4 linked regions of the Callithrix jacchus genome follow. The protein of the gene in region 2 purifies or fractionates together with the protein of the main gene of each other region. This does not show direct contact. Links are inferred from orthologs where the notes say so. Each region holds a gene or a part of one and is shown on either strand. Other genes may lie near its edges.

Region 1 (7,249 bases), on a different chromosome or scaffold from region 2:
TAAGAGCCAAGGCATTAAAGCTGAAAGCATTTAAGTACAGATACATGATCTGCAGGCATCTCACCTGAAATGACAATGATTGGCCTTCTGAGGATGTTGCAAAGGACAAATATGTGTATTTCTTCCAGTGAGTTGTACTGAAGCCCACTTCGGGCCACGGGTGTGTCTGTGGAAGCCATTTTGATAAGGGTGTCCCATTCATCATTCCAGTTCTAAGGGGAGGAGGTGAAAGAGGACAAAAAGCTTGAATGTACCCTGTACTCCTATGCTAAAGTCATTCTAACATCACTCCGCAATTATTCACTTATATAACTCAGCTTATTTTTCCCCTTTCATGAAACCATCATTCAAATGATCATCCTTTTTGCCCCATTTTGGTTTTCTTTCTTTACTCTTTTCTACTACAAGGCAAACTCAAAAGTTGGGGAGGACAGGGACAGCACCTGCTTACAAAAAAAAATCCCTGATGAGGTATCACATTGCAGCCCCTCATCCAAATGTTCACAAAAATTCCAAACTTGTGACTGAGGATGGTGAGGCATGTGTTGTAATGTTATTGGCTGGCTCAGCAAAGCTAAGGGCAATCAAACTGAAAAACAACAAAACACCAATGGAAAAGGCCATGAGCAGAAGACCTGCTGCTAGAGGGAACAGATCCACAGCTGGGAATCTGCTAACCAAAAGCAGTGGCAAAAGCCTTGGGTTAGTCCCATAGGTTTCTGGTGTTTTCCATTGAGTATGCTTCACTTAGGCAAATTCATATGACCTGGGCCATTAGATGCTACCAGAGGGCAGGGACTCACCCAGGGGTACCCTATGCCCACCATGGAGTTCTGTCAATAGATAATTAGGGGGCAATACATACCCGAGTGTCATAGCAAAGCCCCGTTTCCACAAATTCCTGAGATTTGAGAGACTCCAGTTGCCAGCGGAATTTAAAGTTGCGTGTGTCTGTTTCCTTGAGCGTGCTGAACAGCGCCTTCCTCAGTACCAAGTCTGTGTCCTGAACACCCCACATGTACTGAGAAGTGGCATGCATGAGGCAATTGCCATCACCTGAGGACAGAAAGGAGGAGAAGAGAAGGAAAATCAAGTTATCTGCATTTAAGGTCCAGCAAAGGTTTTCAGAATAAACCAGCCCTGCTACTGTGCTAGGTCATTGAGTGGTTTAATTTCCTAGTCAAGTACAAATTGGTATTTCACAAGATAATGACAGCTTTAAGGAAAAAACAGTTCTTTTCATTTTTCTTTTTAATGAATGACACCAACAGCAAAGGAGCCAGGGGACCTTGGTTCTAGCTTAACTCTGCTCCTAACTCATTTAGGTGACCTGGGGGAAATTCCTTAGGTTCTCTGGGCATTTTTCCTCTTTGTGAAATGAGGGCACTGAGTGATGATCTCTAAAGCCCCATCCCTTTCTACTATCCCCTGATTTGCTGGTGAAGGCACTGGCATTGCTGCTCTCTAATCCTAAGGAAGATCACACAGAGCAACATGCACAAACCAGGAAGCGGGCATGGCTTGCTAGACTGGGATGGTATGGCTATGACTCAATGGCAAATGACTTGACCATTCCCCTTTAGCCTTTGGGCCCTGGGAGTTTCCTCTCCTGGTGTGTAAAGTGAGGTTGGCAACACTGAATTACCTATGGCCTGCCAGTCCAGCTCTCAAAAACGCGTTATGCAAACCTGCTTGTTAGTAACTGTAAAGTACAAAAGTTAAAAAGCACCTGGGTGTCTACATTTGAAAATAATTCAGTATTTAGGGCTGACATTTTGAGAAAGAAAAAAAGCAGGTTGAATTGTATGCCATTCATTTGTGACCCTTCCAGTTTAAAACTCACAATTCAATGGGCTGCATTTTTTTCAACCTCCAAACAATAAATCTTTTGGGGAAACGTTTAAAACAAAAAAGTTAACTCCTTGGTATCTTTTGGCAAATACAAAATAATCTTTATAAAGAAAAGTTAAACTGTTTCTCATATTACTCTATAAGTAGGGCAATAATGCTATTTGAAATGTTATCAAATTATAATTACAGTCAAACTATAAAGAGACCAATAAAACCCTCAAATATGTATCCACAGCCAGTATTCCTTCAAGTTACACATTTAGAAAAACTAGCTAAGTAAGTATTCAAACAAATGGACAAAAAAGATCGCCCAAGCCTTGTGCCTTGGCAGACGTGTAGCAATGATTGCATTCTGTTGAAATTTCCCCTTTGCAAAATCTAGAGCAAAGATAAGGCTTTTTTTCTTCTTCTTGTGCTTACTTTCAGTTCTTTATTGAGATGCACCAGTATAAAATTCCCTAAGTAACATCTGGAATTCCCCAGTGCTAAGTTATTTGACTAGCAATTGAGCAACAGCTATTGTACTTTTTGTTCTGGTGTGTAGACATTTAAACTGCGAGGTGCACCCTGGACTTTCCAAGTGGGTGTGGTCAGGGTGAGCTGGAATAGGGCTACTCATTATACAAGTGAAATCGCTGCAGCCAATAGACGCTGGAATTTTTCACATGAAGTTTCAATTTTATGCCACCTACTCCCTTCCTCATTCACCACAGTCTCATATCCTCAAATGCAAACTTGTGAATCACCCCCTCCCCAGATATTGCCTTTGAATAACCCTCCTATCAACGGAAAGATTATTATTATTTTTTTAAAAGGTGCTAATCAAAATCAAAGAAAAAAAAGTCATTTGTATTCCTCCCTCCCGATATCCTTTCTTCCACATTTAGACTCTTAAGGAGTTTTCTAGAAAGTGAAGAAACAAAAGGATTCTGAGTCTAAAAATGATTTCCCAAAAAACGTTACCAAAATGCACCTGGCTTTTGTAGTTTTATTTGTAGTGTGACTCCTTGTTGATTTCAATGACATGTTTGCAAAATAAGTGTTTCCTATTTATAGTCCCTTTTTTTTTCCTAGTGGAAATCGAGCATTTCCTATCTTAAGGAAACAAGGCAAAAAGTCAGTTAATTTTCTTAATAAGGTTTCCCCCTTCCTACCACATTTTTAATTCAGCAGAATCTTTCTTTCCAACTCCCCCAAAGTTTACTCTATCTCTTTTTAGTAACAAAATGGGAGAGGATTAAAACCACAAATTGTCAGGCACATAAACCCCATGATGACTTTACATAATTACCTACCTCTATGTATCACTTAATTTAATGCCAAGAATAATGCAGACAGTAGCTATCCCTAGTTTTCTTTCTACCTATGTTTCTAAGAATCAGTGTTTCATAAATCTAGGCAAGCTGTTGAAGCAATGTACAAGACCCCCCAGAATCAAAATTTAAAAACCCACATCCACCAATCACTCTAAGTTACCCAAGTCAAAAAAAGCCAAAGTTAATGTACCAATTAAGTTAATTAAGTCAGTGTTCTTATCGTAATCATTGTCAACAATGATTTTCTGCTCTTGGACATCTTACTTTTATTAGGATGGTTTGGGACTGTCACAGATTTAAGTATCTGAGATTCCTGGTCTTATGTAGTCTATGAGCATTTAATTGATCTTGTACAGTCCACTTGCTTATTGTAATAATTATCCACATCCATAGAGTAGAATTTTGTGCCTGCATGAAACTGTATGCAACAGACACTCCTGTTGATGCACAGATTCTTATCCAAGGGAAATGATTAAAAAATAAAGCAGTAAAGCTTGGAATAGGAAATAGCTACTCCTGGTAAAGGCCATTGGCAGAACAGCACAGGCAGGAAGGATTTCAGTGACTAGGAACCTCTAAAAATAATGAAGGTGAAGTCTAAAACTCATGCTAAAAATCTCAGCATCGATCTATTTCACACTGCAGGGCATAGGCAGTAGAACCAGGTCAGAGAGGAGGAGGAGACAAAAGAAATTCCTCATGTCTTCAACAGCCATTCACTGGTTAACCCATAAAATGCTACCAATTCGAGAGGCATAAGAACATCACACGCATTTTCTAATGACAGTGGGAAACAAACGTACTACCAGTTTTCACACCATGCTTTTCTTTTGAACTTAAGGCTATTAACATTTCCATTACGAGCCAGTGAAGGGTATTTTACAGATGATTAAACATTTGCAAGCATTAGAAACAAATCACCTAATTGGAGTATTAAAAACGCATTCTCCAAGCCTCAATGTGCTCTGCAATATACACAATCAGAAAATATCCTTAATAAATAGATTCACAAAACAAGTCAGCTCTTATCACATGTCCCGTATAGAGTTTCTACACTAAAGTGTCTACTAAATCTCAAGAGATTTGAGTTTGGGCTTGTGCTATTAAAGCTCCATGAATGGGGACCCAGCAAGCAGAAGCTATCACCCAGGCAAAAGAAGCACAACAGAGCAAGTCTTACCATTCGTTTTCAGCGCTACAAGCTTCCTGACTTCCCGACACCAGTTGAGTTTCTTCTGGCTTTCCAGGGAAGCCTGGATGTTTCTGTCGATGAGGGCTTTGTGGATGATCTCCCGAAATTGAGGACAAAACTGGCAAGTTCTGAACATTTCCAGTGTGTATCGGTGCATGGTTTTAAAATGATGAATGATCCCATTCGTAGGTTTAAAAATATCTTCTGGAGTTCTCTCCCGTATCTTCACAGCTTTCCGCATGTTGCTCAAATACAAAGCCTGAGGAAGGACTTGTTCGGCCATTGTGCTCTCCAGCACCTGAAAAGGAAAGAAAAAAAAACAGCCATTCCATTAGCCTGACTTTGATATGACTCCTATATACCTGTCTGCAGGAAACCCCAGTGTTTGATCTTGTCATTACCCTGATCTGTAGGCAAAAGATCTTAGCACCTCTACTCCCGGGATACTAGCTGGCCCAGAGATTAACTCACACTGGGCTGTTTTAAGTTACATCACTTTAAAAGATTAGTCTAAATAAGGGACGGAAGGCAGAGAGTGGGTACTGAGGAGGAGGGGAATAACCTGTGTTTTCAGTAACGTTTGTCAGGGAGCCAACCCTGTCTGTCAGCAACAGGTACTGCTCCTCAAAATCAACTGAAGCTCCTGTTTCATTCTGAGACCACGCTGAACAGCGCTGGATTTGGGGAGTACCGGATGCCAGTTAAGGGCTCAATGTAGCCCCGACAAGTCTATAGCTCCTTCCCTTCAGACCACCACCAAGCAATCCTGCCCTTGGGCAAACTCTTGAGTAATCACTCCCTCCCTATGCTGGTAAACTATTTTATGAAAAATCTTGCAATTTTATGCTGTCATTTAGGCTCCTGGTTGGTGTTTCCTCTTTAGCCCCAAAGAGAAGTATTTCAGTGTTTATTCATAAAGTTTATTCTGATGTTTATAAAGAGTTAAAGCGGAATGTTTTCTAATCAACAACAAAAAAACCACTTCCAGCAAGATGCACTGCAATTTTAAGAGCAGTCAACATTCCTTCAGAACCTTCCCACCAGACTTCATATCAGAATAAGAAACAGACTAATAATAGGCTGGGCACGGTGGCTCATGCCTATAACCTGGCACTTTGGGAGGTCGAGGTGGGAGGATCACTTGGGCTCAGGAGTTTGAGAATAGACTGGGCAACATATTGAGACCTAGGTCTCTACAAAAACAAAAAATGAAAAACCACAAAATAATAACAGAACAATAAATTCTGTACTTCCAAGAACAGATATTGAAGCTCAATCATTTCAACTCAACTGCCAATAAAATTCTGTCATCACCTTCCAGGTCCTAACACAGATGCATGTCTGCCCAGTTTTTCACCCTGAAATCTTTAAGCATAAGCAACTAGCAGAAGGAATGAAAGTCTAGAAGCAGACAAGGAAGGAAGTTTCCACCAGGAGGCCACTCCAGCAAATGAAGGAGGAAAGGGGCAAAGACCAGCATCTACAACCCATGCCAACAGCTCAGAATGATGTGAATTAACATAATGTGGGATTTCTCCAGTACGGAACCGCGTGGAGAGCCAGCTCTGGTTCGCTAGCCCTTTGTAGGGTGCCTGGCCACACTTCCTAATTTCCAAGACGATGAAGATGTTTTCAGAGCACAAAGACATTCTCTAGGAAATTTCACAGAGATTATTAATTCCACTCCTGCAGCAACCTATTTGTCAGGGCAACTCTCCAGTTGATAAAATGTTAAACCTATGGAAGAGGGAGGAGAAGAAACCTAGATTTTAGGGTAGCTACTCCTGGGTGGGTCTAGGCTCTCTTAACACCATTGATAAGGTGGTCTAAATTCTTGTGGCCCACTCAAAGGAGAGAGGTTGGACTTAGATGACCCATGGTTTCTCCTGAGGAGTTTTCTGGTGATAGTTTTAGATTGGGATTCTTAATCTGATTGCTGGGAAAGGCATAGGGGGAGTCATTCTCCAGATCAGATGGTGTTTTCCTTTGATATCAGCCATCCACTACAGGTGAAATTGGGCAAAATCATAGCAGAACAAAAAATAACACATATACCTTTCCTTTGTGGCACAGCAAAAGTCTCTTTCACAATATTGTCCATCCATCAGTCTGTCCATCCATTCCCCCCACCCACCCACCCATGCACCCATCCACCCATCCACCCAACAAGCCCTACCTGACCACCTAATGAAGGCCAACACCATCCTTGATGAGGGACTAAAAGTCAAAGATGGCCTTATTTCCTTGAAACCACACTACCACCTTAGTGTGCAGCTAAGGCAATGGAGTTACAGGTACTGCTTAGATCCCACAGCCATTCAAGGGCAAAGTTTAGCCTAGCAGCCAGGTCTTTCAACATCTGCCCCTTGCAATCCCACAACACCAAAGCTGCGGCTACAGTGCCTGCCACAATCAGATGGAAAGAGATGGGCAGGAGAAAGATTTTAAACAAAAGAGGTGCTATCTCTTTTTGCTTGTCTGACTCTTATTTTTCTCTTCCAAATCTAAAGATTTTTCACCAAAGATCTAAAATAGTGAGGGCTGTAAACCATAGGCAAGATATGCAAATGTCAATACTGGACACCCCAGTGAGCTCGCATTGGTAGGTTTAGCCTTGCACAGCCTGTAAAGTTGAAATCAAATCCTTAGAAATCAAAACCCACTGCCCAAGTTTCCAGTTCTTGGACTTCTCCACACTTAAGATTAAAGAACAAATGTTTCAGATACATTTTAAAGTGTCAAACAATGCAATATTACCCTTAACTTTTTTTTTTTTTAACATTTGTTACTTCGCTGTCTTATTTAAAGGTAATTTCTCAACTTCTGTCACTAGGATCAATGGGATTCTAAAGAAATTCTCCATTCCTCAAACTCTTCTCCTCGTTTTATT
Region 2 (7,249 bases):
AACACAAACACACACACAGACACAATATACACCCAGAGTTCCAGGTCCCAGGTTATTCTGGGGACTGCAGAAGTGGGGAAATGTCTCAGATCACCACTGTCCCTCTCGCCTCTGCCGAGTCTCACTCTGGGCTGCCCCTTGCACAACAGCCTCCTCTCCCAGCCCCTGACTCAACCTTGCTACCAGTAATTAACAGGAGCAGTACTTGAGGATAAAGGAAGCACATTTGTAACACTTGTGCTGACAGCTTTCTTATTCTAGTTAAAAAGTGAGAATCCAGGTTGCTTTTACCAAAATAGCCCCTCACTTTGGTCTCAGAAATGTCCCTGGCTAACCAAGTTTCGGGACTAAATCTCAGTAAGATACCAGATCTTACCATGTCATCATCCAGTTTGCATTTGGAGATCTCCTTTTTCAAAAGAAACTTAAAAGACCTCAATTCTGATCTGCTCACATCTTCTGAAATCTGATAGAGCATGACCCTGTGGTGGGAAATGGAGACACTTTAGAAACCTTTTCCTAAGTAATGTCCCATTTGATATATGGAGTCAGAGTGGGCTTGATTCCAAAGGCCTCCCTTCAAAATAAAGCCAGTTAATGGCATGGTTTACGAGTTGAGTCCTTGGAAAGAGGCAGGTATATAGCGACACAGAAGTCTACGACTCCTCCCCAACTATCCCACCCTTAACAATTTAAAGTTCTATCAACTTTTCTTTCAGTTTATTTTAGTTAAATTAATCTTGTTTTCCTTTATTTTTTTTCTATGAAATCAAGATTTTGTTGCAACAGCAAAAAGTTTTCAAAGGACACATTGGCCTGTGGCATCGCTAACTAAAATTGGTCAGTGTTCTCCCAGTCATTACCTTCGGTAAGAAGGCCAAGCATTTGGTTCTGGAATACAAAGTCTCTGAATACATCTTTATCACAGACCAGACCACAAACACTAAAGGACCTGAAGCTCCAAACACACCCAGCTTGCCCTGCCCTCACCCCTTTCTGCTGTGCCCCCACACCCCATCCCCTTGTCTATCCGCAGACACCCATCCATGAACAACAGCTCAAGCATTGCCTGAGCATCCTCAAGGCTGCATTCATTCCACTATGACTTAGTATCCCCAGAAGGATAACACATATAATTGTCTTTTGGCCTGGTACAGTGGTTCACACCTATAATTCCAGCACATTAGGAGGCCAAGGCAAGAAGAAGATCGCTTGAGCCCAGGGGTTTGAGACCAGCCTGGGCAACATAGCAAGTTCCCATCTCTACCAAAAATGTTTAAAAATCAGCCAGGTGTGATGGCATGCACCCATGGTCCTAGCTACTCCTGAGGATGAGGTGGGAAGATCACTTGAGCCCAAGAGGTTGACACTGCAGTGAGCTGTGATCATGCCACTGCACTAAAAATAAAATAAAAATAAAAACAAAAAATAATTGTCTGTTTAGAAACTGTCCAAGTCCCTAATGGCCAGGTCCATGCCCTTTTTGTTTTCATTAACCCAGAGGGTTGTGAGGTGCAATGTTTGAGTACAGAGGACCCAGGCTATTGGTGTTGGAGCCTTGGTTCTACCATCTTTGAGCAGCGTTAACTTTAGACATGCTACACATTGTTCCTGATCCATACACTGAAGATAATTATCTGTAACCACATCATAGGAAGGTGTTGAGGATTACACAAGTAAGTTCATGTGAAGTACTGGAACCAATCTTTGACAACACACTAAGTGTTCAATGAGTGATAGGCGTTACTATTTCCTAATCTATGCCTATCACATTTATTTAGGCCGGCACATTTAGGCTCTCAGAATATGCTTGTTGAGTAAGTGAACACAGGAACATTTTAGAAGTCAGCAAACCTTTCAATATTATGGTGTAAAGGAAAACAATTGTAATACAAAACAGGTTGACTTTAAAATTTAATTAGAAAGTAAAATTCTGAAAATAAAAATGGGGTAGAGCCAGGCACAGTGGCTCATGCCTATAATCCCAGCACTTTGGGAGGCTGAAGTGGGCAGATCACCTGAGATCAGGAGTTCGAGACCAGCCTGACCAATATGGCAAAACCCCATCTCTACTAAATATACAGAAATTAGCTGGGTGCGCTGGTGGGCACCTGTAATCCTAACTACTCGGGAGGCTGAGGCAAGAGAATTGCTTCAGCCCGGGAGGTGCAAGTTGAAGTGAGCCAAGATCATGTCATTGCACTCCAACCTGGGCAACAGAGCGAGACTCTGTCTCAAAAAAAAAAAATAAAAAGACTTCACAATTCTTGTAAACCAAAGCCATCTAGCATACTGGTTGAATAGTGTCCTCCCCTCTTCCCCAAAATTCATGTCTACCTGGAATATGAGAATGTGACCTTATTTGGACAAAGGATATTTGCAGATAAAATCTGATCAAGATGAGGTCATACTGGCCAGGAGCAGTAGCTCACACTGTAATCCAGAACTTGGGAGGCCAAGGTGGGCAGATCCCATGAGCCCAGGAGTTCAAGACCAACCAGGACAACATTTCAAAACCCCATCTTTATAAAAAATACAAAAATTAGCCAGACATGGTGGCGGATGCTTGTAGTTCCAGCTACTTGGGAGACTGAGGTGGGAGGACTGGTTGAACCTGGGAGGCGGAGGTTACAGTGAGCCGAGATCGCACCACTGCACTCCTGCTTAGGTGACGTACTGAGACACTGTCTCACACACACATGCACAAAAAGATGAGGCCATACTGGATTAGAGTGGACTCTAATTCCTAATCCAGCAACTGTGTCCTCATAAGAGGGAGATTTAGACACAGAGAAGGGAACATAGGCAGAGACTGCTGTGCTGCATCTTCAAGACAAGCAGCACCAAGGACTGCCGCACCCACCCAGAGCAGGGAAAAGCACGAAACGGATTCTTCCTCGGAGCCTCTAAAAGAAAACCAACGCTGTTGACATTTTGATTTCTGACTTTAGGTCTCCAGAACTATGAGAACAAATTTTAAAAACTGTTTTAAACCTGCTAGCTTGGGTTACTTCATTACGGCAGCCCTAGGAAACTTATACACCCAAAATATCTTTTTTTTTTTTTTTGAGACAGAGTTTGGCTCTTGTTGTCCAGGCTGGAGTGCAATGGCTCGATCTCAGCTCACCCAGCTAATTTTTGTAGTAGAAACAGGGTTTCCCCATGTTGGCCAGGCTAGTGTCGAACTCCTGACTTCAGGTGACCCGCCTGCCTCGGCCTCCCAAAGTGCTGGAATTACAGGCATAAGCCACCACCCCAGGCCCAGAACATCTCTTTCACCATTTAAAATCAAAATAGTAAAGCCTTGGCCAGACATGGTGGCTCACACCTTAATCACAGCACTTTGGGAGGTCAAGGCAGGTGGATGACTTGAGGTCAGGAGTTCGAGACTAGCCTGGACAACACGGTGAAACCCTGTCTCTACTAAAAATACAAAAATTAGCCAGGCGTGGTGGCATGGGCCTGTAATCCCAGCTACTTGGGAGGCTGAGGCAGGAGAATCGCTTGAACCCAGAGGTGGAGGTGCAGTGAGCCGAGATCACACAACTGCACTCCAGCCTGGGCGACACAGTGAGACTCCGTCTCAAAAGCAAAACAAAACAAAAAGTAGTCAAATCTCAGAACAATACATAGTCTCTGAGAATAGAAAGACCAGGGTGTTCATGGGCTGGGCCATCAGAGGGCAGCAGCTGTCAGCTCTGGCTGTGAGCCCTTTCCATCTCACATGCCACAGTTATCGACAAGCAAGCAGAGAAAATGAAATGGGCCCAGAGCCAAGGCTTAAGTAGAAGTTTCCCGAAAGCAGAGCTGAAATTGCTTTAAGGAGTGTCTAATAACAGGAGATGCTGAAAGGGAGAAAGTGACAATGTGTTTCTGTTTTTCAAGTCTTGTCCCAGCATCATGAAGTTGTATTTGAATGGGGTTTCTCTCTCCCACCTTTGGTTACCCATGCTCCCTAGGGTGGGGAGAAGATAAGTTTTACAGCCTTTGGCAGGATGACCCAAAGTGCCACTGTCTTCCTATAGAAGCTTAGAACTGTCATACAGCTGGGCTCACAGGAGCTAGGCAGCCTCTGTGGGGACTGCCTAGCTGTATGTGCCAGGCCAGCTGCATACAACTCTGTAAAGAACTTTGTCATTTGAGTCAATCTTGTTGAAATTTTCCATAGCCATCCACAAGCAAGTGGGAGGGGGATTTCAGGGTGGGAGGCCGTGATGCTGGACTCAGTGGATGGGCAAAGTAAGCACACAATCTGGATATCAGCAAAGCAGAGGCACCAAGATAAGAGAAGAAAAACAAAATGAGAACACTTAGAAAACTTTATTATAACTTCAGCATACCTCTAAGTAATGTTTCAGTTTGAAAAATACATTTTTATTTTATGGTCTTAGCGTTTTTCTAGAATTATACATACGGCCCTTAAATTTCTTAATCTGGCTCCACTGGGACATCTTCCCAAAGCCTCCCAAGTGATACTGAATGTGGTTTCTCTTTGTTTATCCACTCTCTCTAGGGTGGGGAGAAGCTGAATTTTACAGCCTTTGGCAGGACCACCCAAGGTACCACTGTCTTTCTGTAGAAGCCTAGAATTGTGGCACAGCCAGGCTCCCAGGCACCAGACAGGCTACCACAAAGACAAGCCCCAATCAGCCCTGCCCACAGAGACTGTCCATTCAACCCACCCTTGCAGCCCCCACATTGGGAGTTTCTACCCACCTGTAGGCAGAAATCTGAGCACTGCCCGGTGTCTGAAGTTCCCTTTCCATCTCCTCCTTGCTAGTGTGCAGATATTTATTCAACAAATCCAATCTATTAATTCGGAAGAGCAGCTCCTTCAGAAAGAACAGATTACTTTCCTCCAACATTCTCTTTTCCTGGAGTCTCTGGAATAACATCAAGGCATCCTTGATGGGTTCTTGCTTCCTTTGTGGTATGTAGTCCAGGCTCAGGAACTTGAGGGCGGCCAGTTCTTCACTTCCCAGTTCTTCCCCAATATTAAAAAGCATTTTGCTGAAGGCCATCTTTCCAAAAGGTAGGTAGATGTAATCTAAGTCAAAATATAATGGTATGTTCAGATAAGGAAGAAAAGAACCATTTGCTGGCTTGTTCATCAAAGGCTACTGCATCTACTAGATACTGGTCATTGTGCTGTGAGCACAGGAGAGAAAAAAAGAACACCAGGCAAGTTTCTGCTTACTGTGTGGGAAGGTAGATAAACAAACAAGCCAATGGTCAGAGAGGTATGCTCAGAGTGCGGTAGGGGTGCAGAGGAAGAAGACATAACTCAGCCTGGGGGAAGGGCTTCCTGTGGGGAAGGGATTGGGGGAGAATGTGAGAAAGCACAATTCTTGCAGGAAACAATTGATGTAAAAGATGGAGGTAAGAACTTTCAAGTCCATTCAGGCAGGCACGAGTAGCTCAATAAAGTAACTGCAAAGGGTCTGGGACAGAGAGTGATGGGACAAAGGGATGAAGCTCTCTTTCGGTACCATGTCACAAAGGGGCTTTATTACCGTGGGGCAGAGGGTTTAGGCTTTGTCCTGGAGGTGATGAGGAATTAAGAAAAAACTGTACAAATGAGAATGACATCACACAATTGGGGATTAACATTTAAAGTGCAAAGGATAGACTGGAAGACTTGGAGGCAGGGGACCTACTAGGACGTATTAGGAGGAGGCATTTTGGTGCTGGAGGGCAGGAGTAATGGGGTCTGATTTAAACAACAGTGGTAAGAGGACATGGGGCAGTGTGGTTCCCTAAAGGCCCAAGGACCAGAAAGGCCCAAGGACCAGCGCCTGCAGGTGGTCAGGAATGCAAGACTGGAAACTGAACCAGGTCACCCCTGACAGCCCTTTCAGCCCACAGAGTCTCTAAGTCAGGTTATGTGGTATTTTCACACAATGTTTTTAAAGGGGAGGACTGTGTTTCCACAAACCCCAGACAATTATCATGCCAGCGGCCTGAGATCTGGGGTTCCACCACCTTGACAGATTTCTACCCCACCCTCCCTGTTCTGACAGCCCCTGTCCTTGGTAAAGGAACCCTAGGAGCGGTGTTTGTGCTCCACTCTTCATAGGAACAAGACTGGGACATGGATCCCCCTGTCACAGGTGACATTCACCGTAGGGGAAGGCAGCAGTGCCGTGTTTAAGAGCCTAGATCATGCCCAGCTGTGATGCTAGCACTTTCTCAAGGTGTTAGTTTCCACCTCTGTAAAATGCGCTCATCTCTCAAAGCTGCTGTGAATATATAACACCTAGAATGCATTTAGAATAACTCCAAGCAACTAACAAATGCCAAATAAATGTTAACCTAAAAGAAGGAAAAAGCCCCTGGCTGTGGGGCATAGGCTCTTGAGCACTTCTCTCACCTCCCATTTCCTCAGTTGAAAATGTGAACATTCCATTGGAAGCGGCGGCTTTCAGACTCTTCAAAGCTGAAGAGCTCTTTGTCAAACCCTTACTCAGAAGCTCCTTCGCCCTTAAGAGTTGACCCTGGACCACTACCTTTTGAGAACCTTAAACTAAGAACCTTTCCATTCCCATCCAGCTCCATTATATTTCTATGATTCCACCAACCCTATACTCTTGGATACTTTCCTTCCCCATAAATAACCTTAACCTGTTTGGACCCATTTTCTCACCTGCAACTAGGTGGATGGGTTCTGGGTCTTTAAGCCCCTTGCATCTGCTAACATTCATAGATGAAAACACAAACCTGGATCCTGCCACTCAGAGGGAGTGGTCAAGGAAACCACGATTCATGTGTTTTCTACATCTTACTCTAAAATAAAAATACTTTCAATTTGGACATTAGAGTAAGTTTAATTTTTTTAAATTTCCATAGCTTTTGGGGGTACAAGTGGTTTTTTGGTTACATGGATGATGCTGTAGTGGTGAATTGAGTATACCCATCACCCAAGCAGTTTACACTGCACCCAATATACAGTCTTTTATCCCTCATTTCCCTTAGGCTTTGTCCTGGAGGTGATGAGAAGCTAAGAAAGACTGTAAAAATGAGAATAATGGTATCCAATTGGGAATTAATATTCAAAGTGCAAAGGATAGGCTGGAAGACTTGGAGGCAGGAGACCTACTGGGATCTATTAGGACCAACCTCCCCTCCGGCTCCACCACCAGTCCCCAAGTCCATTACCTCCTTCTGTATGTCTCTGCATCCTCATAGCTTAGCTCCCACTTTTAAGTGAGAACATATGGTATTTTGTTTTATTTTCTTTGAGATGCAGTCT
Region 3 (7,864 bases), on a different chromosome or scaffold from region 2:
TGCTCCGCGCCGCCTCTGACCTCTGTCTCTCAATGCCCCCAGTGAACACCCAGACTGGGGTCTAAGTTCACCTCGATGCCAGCCTCCAGTCAGCTCCGCAAGCACAGGACCTGGAGGCCAACACAGGGAACTCAGCGTCCTGCCTCTCCAGACGCTTCTGTCCTGTCTCCTCCTCAGGCTCCTCCTTCTGTCCCTAAACGTCAGCTGTGGCTCTCCTCTCCTCCCCTGCCTCTCCCAGGACTCGCATCTACTGTCTGAATGCCCTCCCCAACCAGGACCTTCTGAGCTCCAGCCCCAGCAGATCTGAGCTGGGTTCAGACCCTGTTTATCCAAACTATCGTCTTTCTCTCAAATCTACTTCCCCACCTATCCAGGCAGAAAAACATAGGATTGAAGCTGATACTCCACACTCAGCTTGCAGACAAGTCCTTTCCAGTCTGTCTGCCGAATATTTCTCTCACCATCCTCAGCACTTACGAAGTCCAGCCTTCTGCCTCCTGTTTTGGCCCTGCAGAACCTGGGATCAGAGCTCCCTGCTTCCATACTCTCCCCTCCAGTCCTCTCTGCACCCAGAGCACAAAGTGCTGACAGCCTCCCTGCCCCTCTTCCCTTACCTTGACCCTGAGATGCAACTTTCCAAGACAAGCCCTTCCAAGCAGGGTGTCCCTGCATCCTCTCACCAACACCACCGCCATACTGCAACCCCAATGTGGTCTCATGACCCTTCCTGGTCCCCTGATTCCTGAGCAGAGATACCAGAATCTTTTTCAGGCCTAGCTCTGACCAAGATCTCTTGATATCACCTGAGACCCACCTGTCTCCCTGCTGACCTGGGAATGACCTACAAACATTTTGTTTGATCTTAAAGTACAGAAGGCCTAGCTCATACAAGCTACCAACAAATGCTCACCGAACTTGGATTTTCCTCCATGGATCTCCCTATTTTGAGAGACTGTATGGTTTTTTGTTTGTTTGAGATGGAGTCTCACTGTTGTACAGTGCTACAATCTGGGCTCACTGCAACCTCAGTCTCCCAGGCTCAAGTGACTCTCATGCCTCAACCTCCAGAGTAGCTGGGATTACAAGTGTGCACCACCATGCCTGGCTAATTTTTGTATTTTTAGTAGAGACAGGGTTTCATCATGTTGGCCAGACTGGTCTTGAACTTCTGACTTCAAGCGATCCACTGCCTTGGCCTCTTAAAGTGCTGAGATTGCAGGCATGCACCACCACACCTGGCTCATGAGAGACTATCTCTACCAAACAGCAGCTATTAGAGAAAATTAATCTGCTTGGTCCTTTTTTTTTTTTTTTTTTTTGAGACAGTCTCACTCTGTGGCCCAGGCTGGGGAGTGCAGTGGCATGGTCTTGGCTCACTGCAACCTCTGTCTCCTGGGTTCAAGCAATTCTTCTGCCTCAGCCTCCTGAGTAGCTGGGACTACTGGCACTCACCACCATGCCTGGCTAATTTTTTGTATTTTTTTTTTTTTTTGAGACGGAGTTTCACTCTTGTTACCCAGGCTGGAGTGCAATGGCACGATCTCGGCTCACTGCAACCTCCGCCTCCTGGGTTTAGGCAATTCTCCTGCCTCAGCCTCCCAAATAGCTGGGATTACAGGCATGTGCCACCATGCCCAGCTAATTTTTTGTATCTTTAGTAGAGACAGGGTTTCACCATTTTGACCAGGATGGTCTCAATCTCATGACCTCGTGATCCACCCGCCTTAGCCTCCCAAAGTGCTGGGATTACAGGCTTGAGCCACCACACCCGGCCATTTTTTGTATTTTTAGTAGAGACGGGGTTTCACTATGTTGACCAGGCTGGTCTCGAACTCCTGACCTTGTGATCTGCCTGCCTCAGCCTCCCAAAGTTCTGGGATTACAGGTGTGAGCCACCGCACCTGGCTGCTTTGTCCATTTATTCCCAACCGAGGATTATGGCCCATTCCTGTGAGTGGCCTGATGCAGCCAGCAAGACCCCTGGCATTAGGAGGCAAAGACAGCCGGCTTTGGACCATGGCCTCAGCTCACCCCCGCCCCCATAATATATATATATATATATAAACATATATATTAACATATATATTATTATATATTAACATATATATTATTATATATATAATAATAACCTCCCCTCCTCCCTGCCTTGCCTTTGTTCACACAACATCCTTCCATCTCCTCTTCCCTTTGCTGTCCCTTCTCTGCCTCCTCCTCTGACTCTAGGAGGCTGGGCCTTCTCTGGGAGAAAGGATTTGGTTCTAGCCCCCATCCTGCCTCCCAGGTCTCTCTCAGTACCCTCTGGTGTCACACTATATCGCTCCTGTCACTTCACACCCTGGCTCCTGCCCATTGAAGCCCTTCCTCCTGGGCTACCAAGCTGAGACCAGAACTACTCCCTGCCCCTCCCTTTCTCTCTCTCTCTCTCCCTCTCCCTCTTTTTTTTTGAGACAGAGATTTGATCTTGTTGCCCAGGCTGGAAGGCAATGGCAAAATCTTGTCTCACCTCAACCTCTGCCTCCCGGGTTCAAGTGATTCTCCTGCCTCAGCCTCCTGAGTAGCTGGGATTACAGTCATGAACCACCATGCCCACCTAAGTTTGCATTTGTAGTAGAGACAGGGTTTCTTCATGTTGGTCAGGCTAGTCTCAAACTCCTGACCTCAGGTGATCCACCTGCCTCAGCCTCCTGAAGTGCTGGGATTACAGACACGAGCCACCTCCGTCTCTCTTTATGTCCCTTCTGTGACAGGTCTTGCTTCTCCACTTCTCAGTGAGTATCCATCAGCTGCTGCCTCACCACCCCACCATGGTCACCTCATGTCCTGTAACAGTCCGTCTGAGGCCCTCTCACTCCCATTCCACTAGACCCCACAGCACAGTGAATTTGACAACTTTCTGGGCTAGGATTACTGTTCCCGTTTTACAGATGAGGAGATAGGCTCAGAGATTCAGTGGTAAAACTGGAATCTTACTTGCCCCAGCCTGAGCTATGAGGAACTGAACTATATTCTCCTGTCTAGCAAAATCCCATCCTAAATATCTATCTACCTCCCCCCACCCCACCCCACTGCCTATCAGACCTTAACTATCTGGTCTGGCTACTCTAACCTCCTCCCACCACCCTGGACAGCCAGGTCCTTCCCAGCTTCCCTCCACCAGTCAGGGCTGGGAGAACTCATTATGGCCTTGGCACCTTGGAGCCTTTGCTGATGCCCTAAGACTGGAATCCTTTTCCCCTCCCTCCACTTCATGGACCTATCCATCCTCCACGACTCAAATGTTCCCTTGTCTACACCAACGCCTAAGTGTCCCAAGGGCAGGTGGTTCTTCTGTGTACCCAGTAAACAAACATATGCCCTCACCACCACATAACCAATATCACTGCATTGTATACACGCAGATCCTCTGTTTTCTTCAGCTGAGGCTTCCAGTGTCCCTCCAATCGGTGGGCACAGGAAGGGAGAGGGGGAGAGTACCTACTCGGGACAGACACAGGGAGGGTGCAGATTGGATTGGCCCCTCCTCTCTACTCCAGCCTAAATTGTTCTCATGTTAGCTTTCTCCTCCTATGACCCCAAGTCCTGCCCTTTTTCCAGCTGGTCTGGGCTCTCCCTTTGAGGATTTAACAGTTCTCAATACCGAAGTTATTTAGCGGTCAGTCCTTCGAGGGCGACGGGTCAGATGTTTCCCAGAGAGCCTGGTGGTGGCGAGCGCGTGGAGCTTGGTCCCAGACTCCAACCCCAGCTCGATGCTCGGGCTCTTTGGCCGGGGAGCCAGGGTCTGGGGACACTGCGGAGCCTTTGCGGATGTACGACCGCACGGATCCCCTTACCTCCCTCCACTCAGTCCCAGAGCCTGAGAGTCCAGCGGCAGGGCGGGGCCCACAGACCTCCCCAACCCAGTGGTGCGCTGATTCTGCCCAATCTCGGTTTCCCTTCCCTCCCCCAGCCGGGAGTGGGGCTCCCGGTCTGGCCCGTTTTGGGCGGCCCCACTCACGGGTCGAACCTCGGCGGGGCAGGAGATGACGGTGCAGAAAGGGCCCGGCAGGGTGGGGGTGGGTGCAGCAGCTGCGGCGGGGGCGGGGCGGCCAGGGCTGCTGGGAATAGGGAGGGTGAGGGTTCTTCCCCGGGCACTGGGAGCCACGCCGCGGAGGCCGCGCGCTGGCTGGGGACGTGCACGTAGTCAGCTTTCCCTCCCCAACCGGGGTGCACCGGGAGATGAGGCCAGGAGGGGTCAGTTCGGCCCGCGGCCCCACACGTCCAATGCCCACTCAGGGCCTGCCAATTTCCAGGTGCTTTGCATCTATCCTGTCATCGACCCCTCTTCCCTGCCTGTCACAGAGGAAGCTCAGAGAGGGGTACTGACTCACCCAGGATCACAGAACGCATGCATTGCAGAGCTGAATGTGACCCAGAAGCCCCCGTTTCCCAGAGATTGCATCGGCCCAGCGCCTGCCCTGGATCCCGGCCTAGGCAGGGGAGCTAGGCACCAGATCCCCAACCATCTCCACCCTACCGGGGTTCCTCTATTAAAGACCTAGTAACTGAACGCGTCTACAAATGCAAAATCACCCCCATCCACAACTCCTGTGCTCCCTGGCCGATAGAGAAAAGAGACCAGAAACAGAAAAAAAAAATGGAGTTTATGTGCAGGGCTAATCGGGGTAGTGGAGAGAGGACGATGAGTAGTGGGGGCTTCGCTCACCCCCGCCAGGGGGCGCCAGGAAGCCAAAAAGGGTGTGCAGCTGCGGACTGACTCGAGCCCCCTTCAGAGGCCAGGGTCTTAGGGGGAGGGACTGGCTTCCGGGCCCAAGTAGGAGGCGGTCTGGCTCTCAGGGGTGCTGTAAATGGTTAAAGCCCCAGGCAAACCCAGGGCTGGGCCTCCCAAGGCTGCCTGGACATCCAGCAAGAGTGGCGCCCCCAACGTGGGGTCCTTCCCTAGGAGAAGTTGGGCAGTGTTCACGAAGGGAAAGGTTCCCCCTCCTTTCATCAGGGAAGGAGAGCCCTGCCCACCTGCTTTCTGCTCAGTTAGGATGAAACATCCATTCTTAACCTCCCCACTCTCACCCAGTGGTGAGGGCATGGGTGGCTCAAGGAACTCTCTGCAGGGCAGTCTGAACTTGGAATTTCCCTGCAAAGTTCAGATTGCCCCATTGCTCAATCAAGGTAGCTCAGCCCAATCAAGCCCTTCTCCTAGGTGGGAGTCATCACAACCATTACCTGGGCTTGGAGAATTTAATCCCTTGACCGACATCTCAGGCTCACCCCGCTCTGGAACCAAGGGCTGCATCTGCATGTGAGAACCACAGGGAGCAGCTGGGAAGGGATCTAGCAGCTAAGTGGGCAGCTGCAGCAGTCCTCCTGGAGACACGGCTCCAGCTCACAGAGAACAGCCATGGACCAGAGGGCTTGGCTCAGCCACCTGGTCTCTGCCTTCCCCAACCCTCTTCTTACCAAGGACAGCTCCATGTCCAAGTCCATCAGGGTCCATTCTCGCCCTTGGAGACTGGGACCTAGCACCTGAGGAGAGCTCTGGGTCACTGGTGCCCTCCCCAGGCTGCACAGAGAGCGAGACCCCACCAGGCCTCTTGCCTCTGCTTCAGCAGAAGGGGTACTTACATCTAGAGGCCCTGCAGTCTCCACACTTTCTTGGGGGGGCCGAAGCAGCACCGGAGGCAGCAGACTCTCTGGGCTCCTGTCCCCCCTCTCCAGGCCCAGAGGCCCGCTGTGCACAGAGAAATGCTTTTGGCTTGCAGTGTCTGCCCCTCCCCCCATTAAGTTCCCAAGGAACCCAGACACATCGAGATTTAAAACCCCAACATTTAGAAAATGATAGGAGAGGACCCCATTCTCCCTCCACCCCTAGCCTTCCCACCCCTGCCATAAAGGGGCACAGAGAGTGCCTCTGCTTCCTACCTGGGACCTGAAGTTTGGGTGGTGGAGCTAGGGCTTTGGGATCCCTCCCCTCCCTATGCAAATATTAACATCAATGTTTCTTCTTTCTTTCTTTTTTTTTTTTTTTTTTTTAAAAAGAGTCTCCCTGTTGCCCAGGCTGGAGTGCAGTGGCACAGTCTTGGCTCACTGCAGCCTCCACCTCCCAAGTTCAAGTGATTCTCCTGCCTCAGCCTCCTGAGTAGCTGGGACTACAGGTGCACGCCACCACACCCAGCTAATTTTTGTATTTTTAGCAGAGTGTGGGGGGGTGTTCACCATGTTAGCCAGGCTGGTCTTGAACTCCTGACCTCAGTGATCCATCCACCTCAGCTTCCCAAAGTGTTGAGATTACAGGCATGAGCCATCTCATGGCCACCAATGCTTCTTAAATTATTGTATGCTTTACAATCACCCCAGGGAACTCATTTAATCTGTAGGTTTCTGAGCTCTTCTAAAGATGCTGAGTGCCCTGACTGGGAGGTTCTGCTTTCCAAGGGACTTGGATGCTGGGGCCAAGAAGTCAGGTGAGTATCATGGAGTCAAATGGCTGGGAAGCTATGGGGGTTGGTAAGGCTGTTCTATCACAGGGCTCGTGGTCCAGCAGGGGCTCTACTCACCTGTCGGATATCTCCCTGGGATCCCCTGGTTCAGGCTGTTGGGCATTCCTGGGCCCCTCGGGGCTGAAGCTCCCTTTCCCTTCCAGGATGGCCTGCACCACAGCCACAGGCAGCGGTGGGGGGGCTGTCACGCAGAAGTCACACTCGTTTGGGGCCAGGGCCAGCCCGGCCTCGCCATCCCCCCCTGGACTGGCCGGCTCTTCTTTGAGCAGTGCCAGGCCCTTCTCCCTGCACCAGAGAAAAGCTTCAACCAGACCCTGGCACTGACTTCTCCCCGTACCCCCACAGCCATCTGGGCTGCCAGCCCCTCCCCCACAGGCCTCCCAGGGGCAGCCCTGTCCCCCTTACCTCCTGCCGTCACTGGAGGGAGAAAGCCTGGTCCCCTCAGGGGATGGAGATTCTTCTGGGATGTCAGAGATGATGGGGCCCCTGGCCCTGTGAGGGCTGAGGCCCAAAGTCGTCTCTGGGAGGGGCTGTAAGTGGAAGGCTAGGCCCAGCCCTTGGCCTGTAGGCACAGGGAGAGCCAGAACCCCACCAACACCCACCTGGGCCAGGTCTAAGGGAGGTTTGAGGGAGGAGGTTCAGTCCATGCTGGAGGGCCTGGGTCTGGTTGGGGGAAAGGCTGGCTTCCATCTTCTCTTCCTTTTAGGGGATGGGGAGAAGGAACAGGCTCTCCAGTAAGCCCAGCCATGCCCTCAGGAAGCGGGCAGAAGACAAACCTACCGGCTGGATGAAGTAGGGGTCCTGCAGAAGGGCACCAGATAGGGGGCAGGTGTTGAACTTGGCAGGTGTTGGGCAAGAGTTCCCCTCATCCAGCATCAGGGACCTGTGTGGTTGAGCAGGGCATAGGCAGGGGTGGGGCAGGGTCAGCCCCCATGCCCCTCAGCCTGCACTTCCCTCCCTCCCTCAGGCCCCAGCAGCCAAGTCAGCAGAGCTGAGTTGCCAGGGCATCAGTCACATGCTGGAGGTGGAAGGGGCTCCCCCCAGAGATGGGGGCCCTTTGGGGGTAGAGAGGGGAGGGAGGGAACCTGGTTTGAGCCCCAGGCCCTCAGCTGTTGGGAAGCTTTTTGAGGGGAGGGGGAGGGGGCTGCTGGGGTTGGAATTTGGGAATAAGGTCCAGGAAGGGGAGGATCTGGGAGTGGGGGTACCAGGTGGTAGAGTTGGGGAAAGAAGATCCTAGATGGTGTGAGGAATGTAGTGCAGGGGGAGGGATGAGGATTGCTTGTGAAGGAGTTTCTGGAGAAGGGATCCTTGCAAGGGGACTTCTGTGGGGTCTTGGAAGTGGGTGTGGGCATTCCTGGCTTTCTCACTCACAG
Region 4 (7,877 bases), on a different chromosome or scaffold from region 2:
TCTCCTTTCCCTATTATCACAGATACCTGCCTGGGAATCCAAGAGAGGCTCTTCGCAGACCAACAAGCACCTGCTATTATCAAGCAGGCCAGGTCCCAAATGCTGGGGACTTCCTCCTCCTAAATCTCATTTTCTCTCCAAACAAAATGAGAGCAACAATCCCCATCTCTCTGGGGTAGGAAAGTACCCTAAACAAAGATGTGCAGTCTCTGGCTGGGAGGAGGACATCAGCTGTCCATCAGCATAGGCTTGGGGCATGGCACTGTCCCCACGGTCCCCATCCCCGACCTGGAAGCTAAAAGCTAGAGCCTCACTGCGCTGCCATTCCTAGATACAGGACAGAAGACCATAACTGGGACTGCTGCTTCTCAGTAGGGGCGGGGTGAGCAGCCAGCTGCAGCCACCTAGATGGAGACATTTCCTGCTCACTCTTCGAACTGCAATCTGGGCTGCATGCCCACTAGAAGGACAACTGAAGTGTGGCAGGTAACCCAGGCTGTGGCCCTGCAGTGCCATCGCTGTCCTCACTTGAAGTCTGGCTCCTCTGTTCCTCCACAGCCCCTCCCCATGGTGCTCCACCCCAGTCTTCAGAAGCTTCTGCCTCAAACTCAGGGAGCTGATACCGAGGTGCAGGTAGGATAGGCTGCAGCCTCTGCTGGTGGAGGGCATGTGCCCTGGGGAACCAGTTCAGAGTGACTGACACTGTCGCTGAGGATGTGATTTTTCCTCCCACATGACAGCATACATCTGCCCACACAGTCCACTGCGGTTTACACAGGGCCACTGGGGACTTTTTCTTACATCCGTCTATTTTATAAGAAGGAGCTAGGGCCACACAAGAGTCACCAAGCTGAAGAACAGCACAGCCAACCCTGGCAGTCTTCAGCCTCCGATCTCTGGGCTCTTTAACAGCCTGAGGGTCTGAGCTCCTGAGCCTTTACAATTTCTCATTTCCTACTGCGATAAAGAGAGGGGAGAGGTGGAAGGACGTGGTGTAGAGATTGGACCAGCCCAGCACTGACAGAGCCAGGACCTGAGGTCAGAAACTGAGCTTATCTCTAGGCTCATCTGAGGTTATCCTGACAGGCTGAGGACAGAGACCTTATCTCCATTCACAGGCATGGCGAGTGGCAGGGACTGGCCCCAGCTGACCACGGTTTCCCAGATGCATAGGTGTGACTGCAGTCTTCCCTGCTCCCTCCCCTGCTGTCTCATCTGGAGTCTCAAAGTCATCTACTCCCAGTCTCAAAAAATTCCTGGATCCTTGAAAATCTTTAATAACATTGAAATAAAAAATACAACATTGGGATGTATCATTTTTTTTACCTCTTAGACTAAGAAAGAATGAAAATTCTGTGTAGCAAGGGTGCAGAGACACGGGCACGCTTGGGTACTCTTGGTGTGAGTGTAAAATTGACACAACCTTCTCCCAAAGGACAATTTAGCAACATCCAAACAAAATTCTAAATTGATGAGCTCATTGACCCAGCAATTCCTCTCCTCAGGAGCTGCCTAATACTCCAGTGAACGTGGATATACGGACACGTGACACATACAAGGGTTCTCACTACAATCCTGCTGGAATTAGCACAAAGGGAGGATATCATGTTAACCATTGTCCATAGGATGGAAAATTAAAATCAACTGTGGTTCACCCCATGTGTTTCACCCATGCACTAAATATAATGATGCTGTTAAAAAGAGTGAGACACATGCAGGTACTGACGGAAAACACCTAAAGCGATTTGTTGTTCACTCAGAATTTTTAAAACCTAAGGTGCCTATAAATGCACAGGTAGAAAGCTGTTGGATGGTGGGATGAGAGGGTCCTGTGGGACGGCAGAAGGCCTTGGCGTCTGCTTATGGGTTCTACCAGGTCTCATGCTGAAATCTGAACCCCAGCGTAGCTGGTGGGGTCTGTTGGGGTCTGGGGATGGGGTGTATCCCTCATGAATGACATGGTGCCATACCCACCTCCTCTCCCATCCCCCGCAGGGAATTGTCACTCTTAGTTCCCCTGAGAGCTGGTTGTTAAAATGAACTTGGCCCCTCCCCGTCCCTTTGCTCAACTCTTTCCCCTCCCCCACCGTCCTCCCCATCCCCTTTCCCTGATGGGCAGAATCCAGCTGTCCTTCCCCTTGGCCATGAGTGGAATCTTCCTACCAGAAGCAGATGCCGGTGCCATGCTTTTTGTGTAGCCTGCAGAACCACGTGCCAAATACACCTCTTTATAAATTACACAACCTCAAGTATTCTTTTACAGCCACTTAAACCAACTGTCACATTTCCCAAACCACCACATTCAGATGTTTGATCTTGTCTACACAGGTGAGCCCTACATCTACCTGGACTCACACTGGCCGGGTGCGGTGGCTCACGCCTGTAATCCTAGCACTTTGGGAGGCCTAGACGGGTGGATCACGAGGTCAAGAGATCGAGACCATCCTGGTCAACATGGTGAAACCCCGTCTCTACTAAAAATACAAAAAAGTAGCTGGGCATGGTGGCGCGTGCCTGTAATCCCAGCTACTCAGGAGGCTGAGGCAGGAGAATTGCCTGAACCCAGGAGGCAGAGATTGCGGTGAGCCGAGATCGGGCCATTGCACTCCAGCCTGGGTAACAAGAGCGAAACTCCATCTCAAAAAAAAATAATAATAATAATAATAATAAGTAAGCATCAACCGTGGGTTCCACCTCATATAAACTGATGTTTAAAACATAAATTCTGTAATTATTTGCAGATTACAAAATGCCATTAGTTTCCTGGATCTTGTTTACTTTGTTAAAAAAACTTGAAATTTCCTGACACCTGTAAGACTGGTTTTTATCCTTGAGCTATTTAGCTTTTGTTTCGTGCTTCCTCGATGTGGAAGAAATCTGGAAGAGAGCAAGTGGCAGAGCCTCTGCGGACATGAAAGAGAACTGAAGGCATTGGCATTTTCCAGATTGCTTTCGCGGTTTGCTGCCTTCTGCAGGATGGGTATGCCCCGTCCCGGCTGTGTCACTGCAGTTGATTCACCGCCCTGTACCTGTTCATGTGCAAGAAAATGGCTGGAAGGGGGGCCGGGCGCGGTGGCTCACGCCTGTAATCCCAGCACTTTGGGAGGCCGAGGCAGGTGGATCACGAGGTCAAGAAATCAAGACCATCCTGTCAACAAGGGGAAACCCCGTCTCTACTAAAAATACAAAAATTAGCTGGGCATGGTGGCGCGTGCCTGTAATCTCAGCTACTCGGGAGGCTGAGGCAGGAGAATTGCTTGAACCCAGGAGGCGGAGGTTTCGGTGAGCCGAGATCGTGCCATTGCACTCCAGTCTGGGTAACAACAGCGAAACCCCGTCTCAAAAAAAAAAAAAAAAAAAGAAAAGAAAATGGCTGGAAGGAAACTGCTGCCGGGGTGCTCATGGGACTCGAAGGAAACGGAAGACTACGGACAGCGGAGAGAAAGTTACTTTTTCCTGCCGGGCCGCGCGTTTAACCCGTTTGTCTAAGTAAAGAAGGATGAAGCGGCCGGGCGCGGTGGCTCACGCCTGTAATCCTAGCACTTTCGGGGCCGAGGCGGGCAGATCACGAAGTCAAGAGATCCAGATCATCCTGGCTAACACGGTGAAACCCCGTCTCTACTAACAACACAAAAAATTAGCCGGGCGCGGTGGCGGGCGCCTGTGGCCCCAGCTACTCAGGAGGCTGAAACGAGAATCGCTTGAATCCGGAAGGCGGAGGTTGCAGTGAGCCGAGATCGCGCCACCGCACGCCAGCCAGCCCGGGCGACCGAGCGAGACACACACACACACACACACACACACACACACACGAAACGAAAAGAAGGATGGGGGTGCGGAGGGGGGTGGGGGGGAAGAAAGACATGTCCCCTGCGCTCCCCTTCACGCAGCCAGTGTGGCTTGGAGGTAGCTTCGAAGTTTACACACTTGAGCTCGCTCTGCCGATTCCGAAACCTCCCCAGACATCTTGAGGCGTTGGGAGGAGGGAGCCGCGCTACGCAGCGGAGGACAGGGTGGAGTCCCCCGGCCCAGACTCCTGTGGGGAGGCGGTTAGGGCTCTCTGCTCCCTCCAGGCGCAGGTCACTCCTGCCAGACCCTAGGGACCCCACTCTTCTTCCGACTTCTACGACGGGTTCCTGCTGCACGGACACGTCCGGCCACAGGCGACCCAGGCCAGGCACCCCGTCGCGTCCCCCTCTCTCCCTGCCTCCTCCCTGTGCCAGGCGCGCTTTTCCCCAGCAGGGACCGCGGTGGGGACTCACCCACAGCAAGACCCCGACGACGACGACGGAGAAGAAAATCTGGGGGACTCGGAGCCGGGGCCTCGCTCCTCGCGCCCGCCTGGGTCCTGGGGCGCGCCCTGCCCGGGCCCTCGAGGGAGCCTGGGCGCAGGGTCCCGGCTGTCTCATGGGGTAGGCAGCGCTCCTCGGCCCCCGCCCCGCTGTTCAATCCTCGACGCGGAGGAGCCCCTAGCTGTGCTGGGTGTGGCCGCGACTGCCTCTGAACCTCTCGCTGAGCTCCCTAGATTCGGAGTCGCTGCCAGGAAAGCGCCCAGCTTTACTCCAGCTGGCGATTGCGTCAAACAGCGTCAATCCAAGAAGCACTGCGCTCTGGTAAGACCAAAGTTGGCATTCTCTGGGTCAAGGCACCTGATCCCTCCCCCTTCTCGGGGCACCTGAGACTCCTGTTGGTGAACCCTGAACTTCCTTCCTCTTTGCCCGCCCCCGCTGCTGTCCCTCGACCTCACCCGCCGCCTGGATGCCGCTGCATTCGGAGTCGCTTTGCCATTTAGTCCCAGCGCGAGGCTTTCCTATCTTCCTATTATTCTTAAACCCTAAAAGTATTATGGGATTTGCATGCTGTAGCTATAGTTTAACCAAAACATTAGATTGTGGATCTAGTAATAGAGGCCTGCAACTTCTTATCTACCGAGAAAGTGTGCAAGAACTGCTAACTCACGCCCCATGCCTAACAAGGTGGCTTTCTCAACTTTTAAAGGATTAGAGTCATCCGTGGGTCTTAGGACTCCAAATAAAAGTAATAAACATGTATTTTTCCAGTGCTATAATTGCCCTAATCCCCTTAATCTAACCGATTATTACTACCTTAACCAGCCCCTGCAAAAAAGGTTCATACCCAAATTACGTAAAAATATCTATCGCATGCGCCTTCGTCATTAGCCTCCTCCCTACAGCAATATTTATATGCACATGCCAAGAAGTCATTATCTCAAACTGACACGGAACGACAATCCAAACTCTTAAACTCTCACTAAGCTTCAGAGTAGACTACTTCTCCACAATATTCATCCCAGTAGCACTATTTGTTACCTGATCTATTGTCGAATGCTTAATATGATATATAAACTCAGACCCCTAATATCAATCAATTTTTCAAATACTTATTTTCCTCATCATATTAATTCTGGTTACTGCCAACAACAGCCTTCAACTTTTTATCGAACGAGAAGGCATAGGAATCGTGTCTTTCTAATTGGCTGATGGTAACCCCGAGCAGAGGCTAATCCTCCAAGCAGTGGCGATATTGGCTTTATTTTAGCCAGAGCTTAATCTCTCTCATCCTCCATGAGAGCTTCGACAAGCATTTATTCTTTTAGTTATTTATTTATTTATTTTTTGAGACGGAGTTTCGCTCTTGTTGCCCAGGCTGGGGTGCAATGTCGCAGTCTCGGCTCCCCACTCCCGGGTCCAAGCGATTCTCCTGCCTCAGCCTTATGAGTAGCGGGGATTGCAGGCGCCCACCACCCCGTCCGCCTAATTTTTTGTATTTTTAGTAGAGACGGGTTTCTCCATTTGGGCCAGGCTGGTCTCCAACTCCCGATCTCAGGTAATCCGCCCTCCTAGGCCTCTCAAAGTGCTGGGATTAAGGGCGTGAGCGACCGCGCCCGGCCACAAGCATTTATTCGAAACCCACTCCCGACTCCCTTCCATTAATTAGCCTTCTCTCAGCAGGAGTCGACCTCAGCTTCTGGGTAGCCGGGTTCCTGTCGTTCAGCAGGCGCTTGGTGGGCGGATGGTGGCGAAATGAAGGCTACAGAGGCCGCCACCGCGGGATGTGGACTCCGGGCCGCTGAAGGCTTCTACGGCCTCCTCCGTCGATACCCTCCGTCGACGAGGGACCCATCCTGCTGGTAGTCTCAGGTTTCGATGCCAGTGAAATGTCACCTCAGCTCCACTGTCCCCGGTGTCAGGCAAGCCCTAGGTACCCAATTCCGCCTTTCTTCTGGATCTTCCTAACCTGTTAAGAGTCTTGAAAGCCCTTAAACCAGGGGAGACTACCTGGCGCGTGACAGGGAATGCGTCCTGGCTGGGGTCCAATGTGGGGTAGGTCCTGCCAGCAGTTCCTCTGCACCTAGCGCTGCGCGGGCCCCGGCGTGGGAAATCGGCCTCCCGAAAGGAAAACGAGTCACAGTCCTGCCCGCGCAGGGCTCCCAGGGCGACCACGGGGCTGAGTGGGTAAGAGAAACGGGGCTCTGGCTGATGTGCATTTTTCTCCATGTTTTCACAGGTGTTCGGACACCATTTGTTGAAAAGATTTTCTGTCCTTATCCATAGCCTTATCACTTTTGTTGAAATTAAATTGATCATGTGTGTGTGTGTGTGTGTGTGTGTGTGTTCATTTCTGGACTCCATTCTACTCCATTTATCTTTATTTGGCTAATGTCATGCTAACTACTACATTGTCCTAATTATGAGCTGTATAGTCAATCTTGAAATCAGGGATTTCAAGTCCTCCCCCTGCCTGCCCCCTAAAAATGGTTTGCATTTCCACATATATTTTATATAGAATCCTTTTTTTTCAAGTAAAAAAGCCTGCTGGGACTTTAGTTGGGATTGCATTGAATGTAGAGATCAATGGGAATAATAGACATTTGAACGATTTTGAGTCTTCCAATCTATGAAATTGATTTATTTATTTAGATATTCATTACTTAAGCTTGACAATATTTCACAAACTTTTCAGATACAGGTTTTGCATATCTTTTGTAAATATATTTCTAAATATTTTTGTTACTATTGCTAGTGTAATTTGCTTCTTTTATTTTCAAATTATTTGTTACAACTATACAGAAATACAATTGATTTTTGTACATTGGCCTTGTATCCTATGGTACTGTTAAAAAGATGTAATGTTTCTAGTTGTTATTTTATAATTATTTAGGATTTTCTATGTAACCAATCCTATTGACTGTAACTAAAAACTGTCTCAGTTCTTCCTTTCCAATCTTATTTATTTATTCATTTATTTTTTTTCAGATGGAGTTTCACTCTTTTTGCCCAGTCTGAAGTGCAATGGCATGATCTCGGCTCACCACAACCTCCGCCTCCTGGATTCAAGTGATTCTCCTACCTCAGCCTCCCAAGTAGCTGGGATTACAGGCATATGCCACCACACCTGGCTAATTTTGTATTTTTAGTAGAGATGGGTTTTCTTCATGTTGGTCAGGCTGGTCCCAAACTCCCAGCCTCAGATGATCCTCCCACCTTGGCCTCCCAAAGTGCTGGGATTATAGGTGTGAGCCACTGCTCCCGGCCTCTAATCTTTATACCTTTTATTCATCTTTCCTACTGAATTGCTCTGGATAGGATTTCCAGTACAATGTTAAATAGAAATAGTTAAAGCAGGCATGCTTATCTTATTCCATATCTTAGAGAGAACACATCTAATTAATCACCATTAGATACAATATTATAGCTTCCTCATAGATCCCTGCTATGATTTTAATGTCTCCTCCAAAACTCATGGTGAACGAGACTCACCTCCAAAAAAAAACAACAACCAAAAGACTCCACCTCCCAACATGCTTACACTTGCAAGTGGCTCACACCTGTAATCTGTAATCCCAGGGCTTTGTT

What was found.
Region 1: the proteins of CASP8 (region 2) and TNFAIP3 purify together in Homo sapiens (affinity purification with western blotting; 3 studies listed by BioGRID and IntAct, with this or other methods). This does not show direct contact. The link is inferred for Callithrix jacchus from reciprocal best matches to the Homo sapiens genes CASP8 and TNFAIP3.
Region 3: the proteins of CASP8 (region 2) and NOL3 purify together in Homo sapiens (affinity purification with western blotting; 3 studies listed by BioGRID and IntAct, with this or other methods). This does not show direct contact. The link is inferred for Callithrix jacchus from reciprocal best matches to the Homo sapiens genes CASP8 and NOL3.
Region 4: the proteins of CASP8 (region 2) and TNFRSF10A purify together in Homo sapiens (affinity purification with western blotting; 13 studies listed by BioGRID and IntAct, counting the BioPlex papers as one, with this or other methods). This does not show direct contact. The link is inferred for Callithrix jacchus from reciprocal best matches to the Homo sapiens genes CASP8 and TNFRSF10A.

Annotation. Positions count from the first base shown.
Region 1 is NC_133505.1:144,646,980-144,654,228, reverse strand, and holds part of TNFAIP3 (tumor necrosis factor alpha-induced protein 3), read right to left. Parts: intron 4,834-7,249; exon of another isoform or gene 4,761-4,833; intron 4,658-4,760; coding exon 4,348-4,657; intron 1,057-4,347; coding exon 866-1,056; intron 213-865; coding exon 65-212; intron 1-64. UniProt on the Homo sapiens protein: Ubiquitin-editing enzyme that contains both ubiquitin ligase and deubiquitinase activities.
Region 2 is NC_133507.1:122,359,024-122,366,272, reverse strand, and holds part of CASP8 (caspase-8), read right to left. Parts: intron 5,048-7,249; coding exon 4,717-5,047; intron 483-4,716; coding exon 377-482; intron 1-376. UniProt on the Homo sapiens protein: Thiol protease that plays a key role in programmed cell death by acting as a molecular switch for apoptosis, necroptosis and pyroptosis, and is required to prevent tissue damage during embryonic development and adulthood.
Region 3 is NC_133521.1:24,676,245-24,684,108, reverse strand, and holds the start of NOL3 (nucleolar protein 3), read right to left. Parts: upstream 4,030-7,864; 5' UTR 4,004-4,029; exon of another isoform or gene 3,696-4,003; 5' UTR 3,638-3,695; intron 172-3,637; exon of another isoform or gene 72-171; intron 1-71. Other genes in the region: HSF4 (heat shock factor protein 4), read right to left, coding at 4,781-4,935, 5,218-5,287, 5,452-5,517, 5,617-5,722, 6,549-6,776, 6,897-7,021, 7,272-7,374, 7,863-7,864.
Region 4 is NC_133514.1:18,236,654-18,244,530, reverse strand, and holds the start of TNFRSF10A (tumor necrosis factor receptor superfamily member 10A), read right to left. Parts: upstream 4,530-7,877; 5' UTR 4,410-4,529; coding exon 4,263-4,409; exon of another isoform or gene 4,119-4,262; intron 1-4,118. UniProt on the Homo sapiens protein: Receptor for the cytotoxic ligand TNFSF10/TRAIL. The adapter molecule FADD recruits caspase-8 to the activated receptor.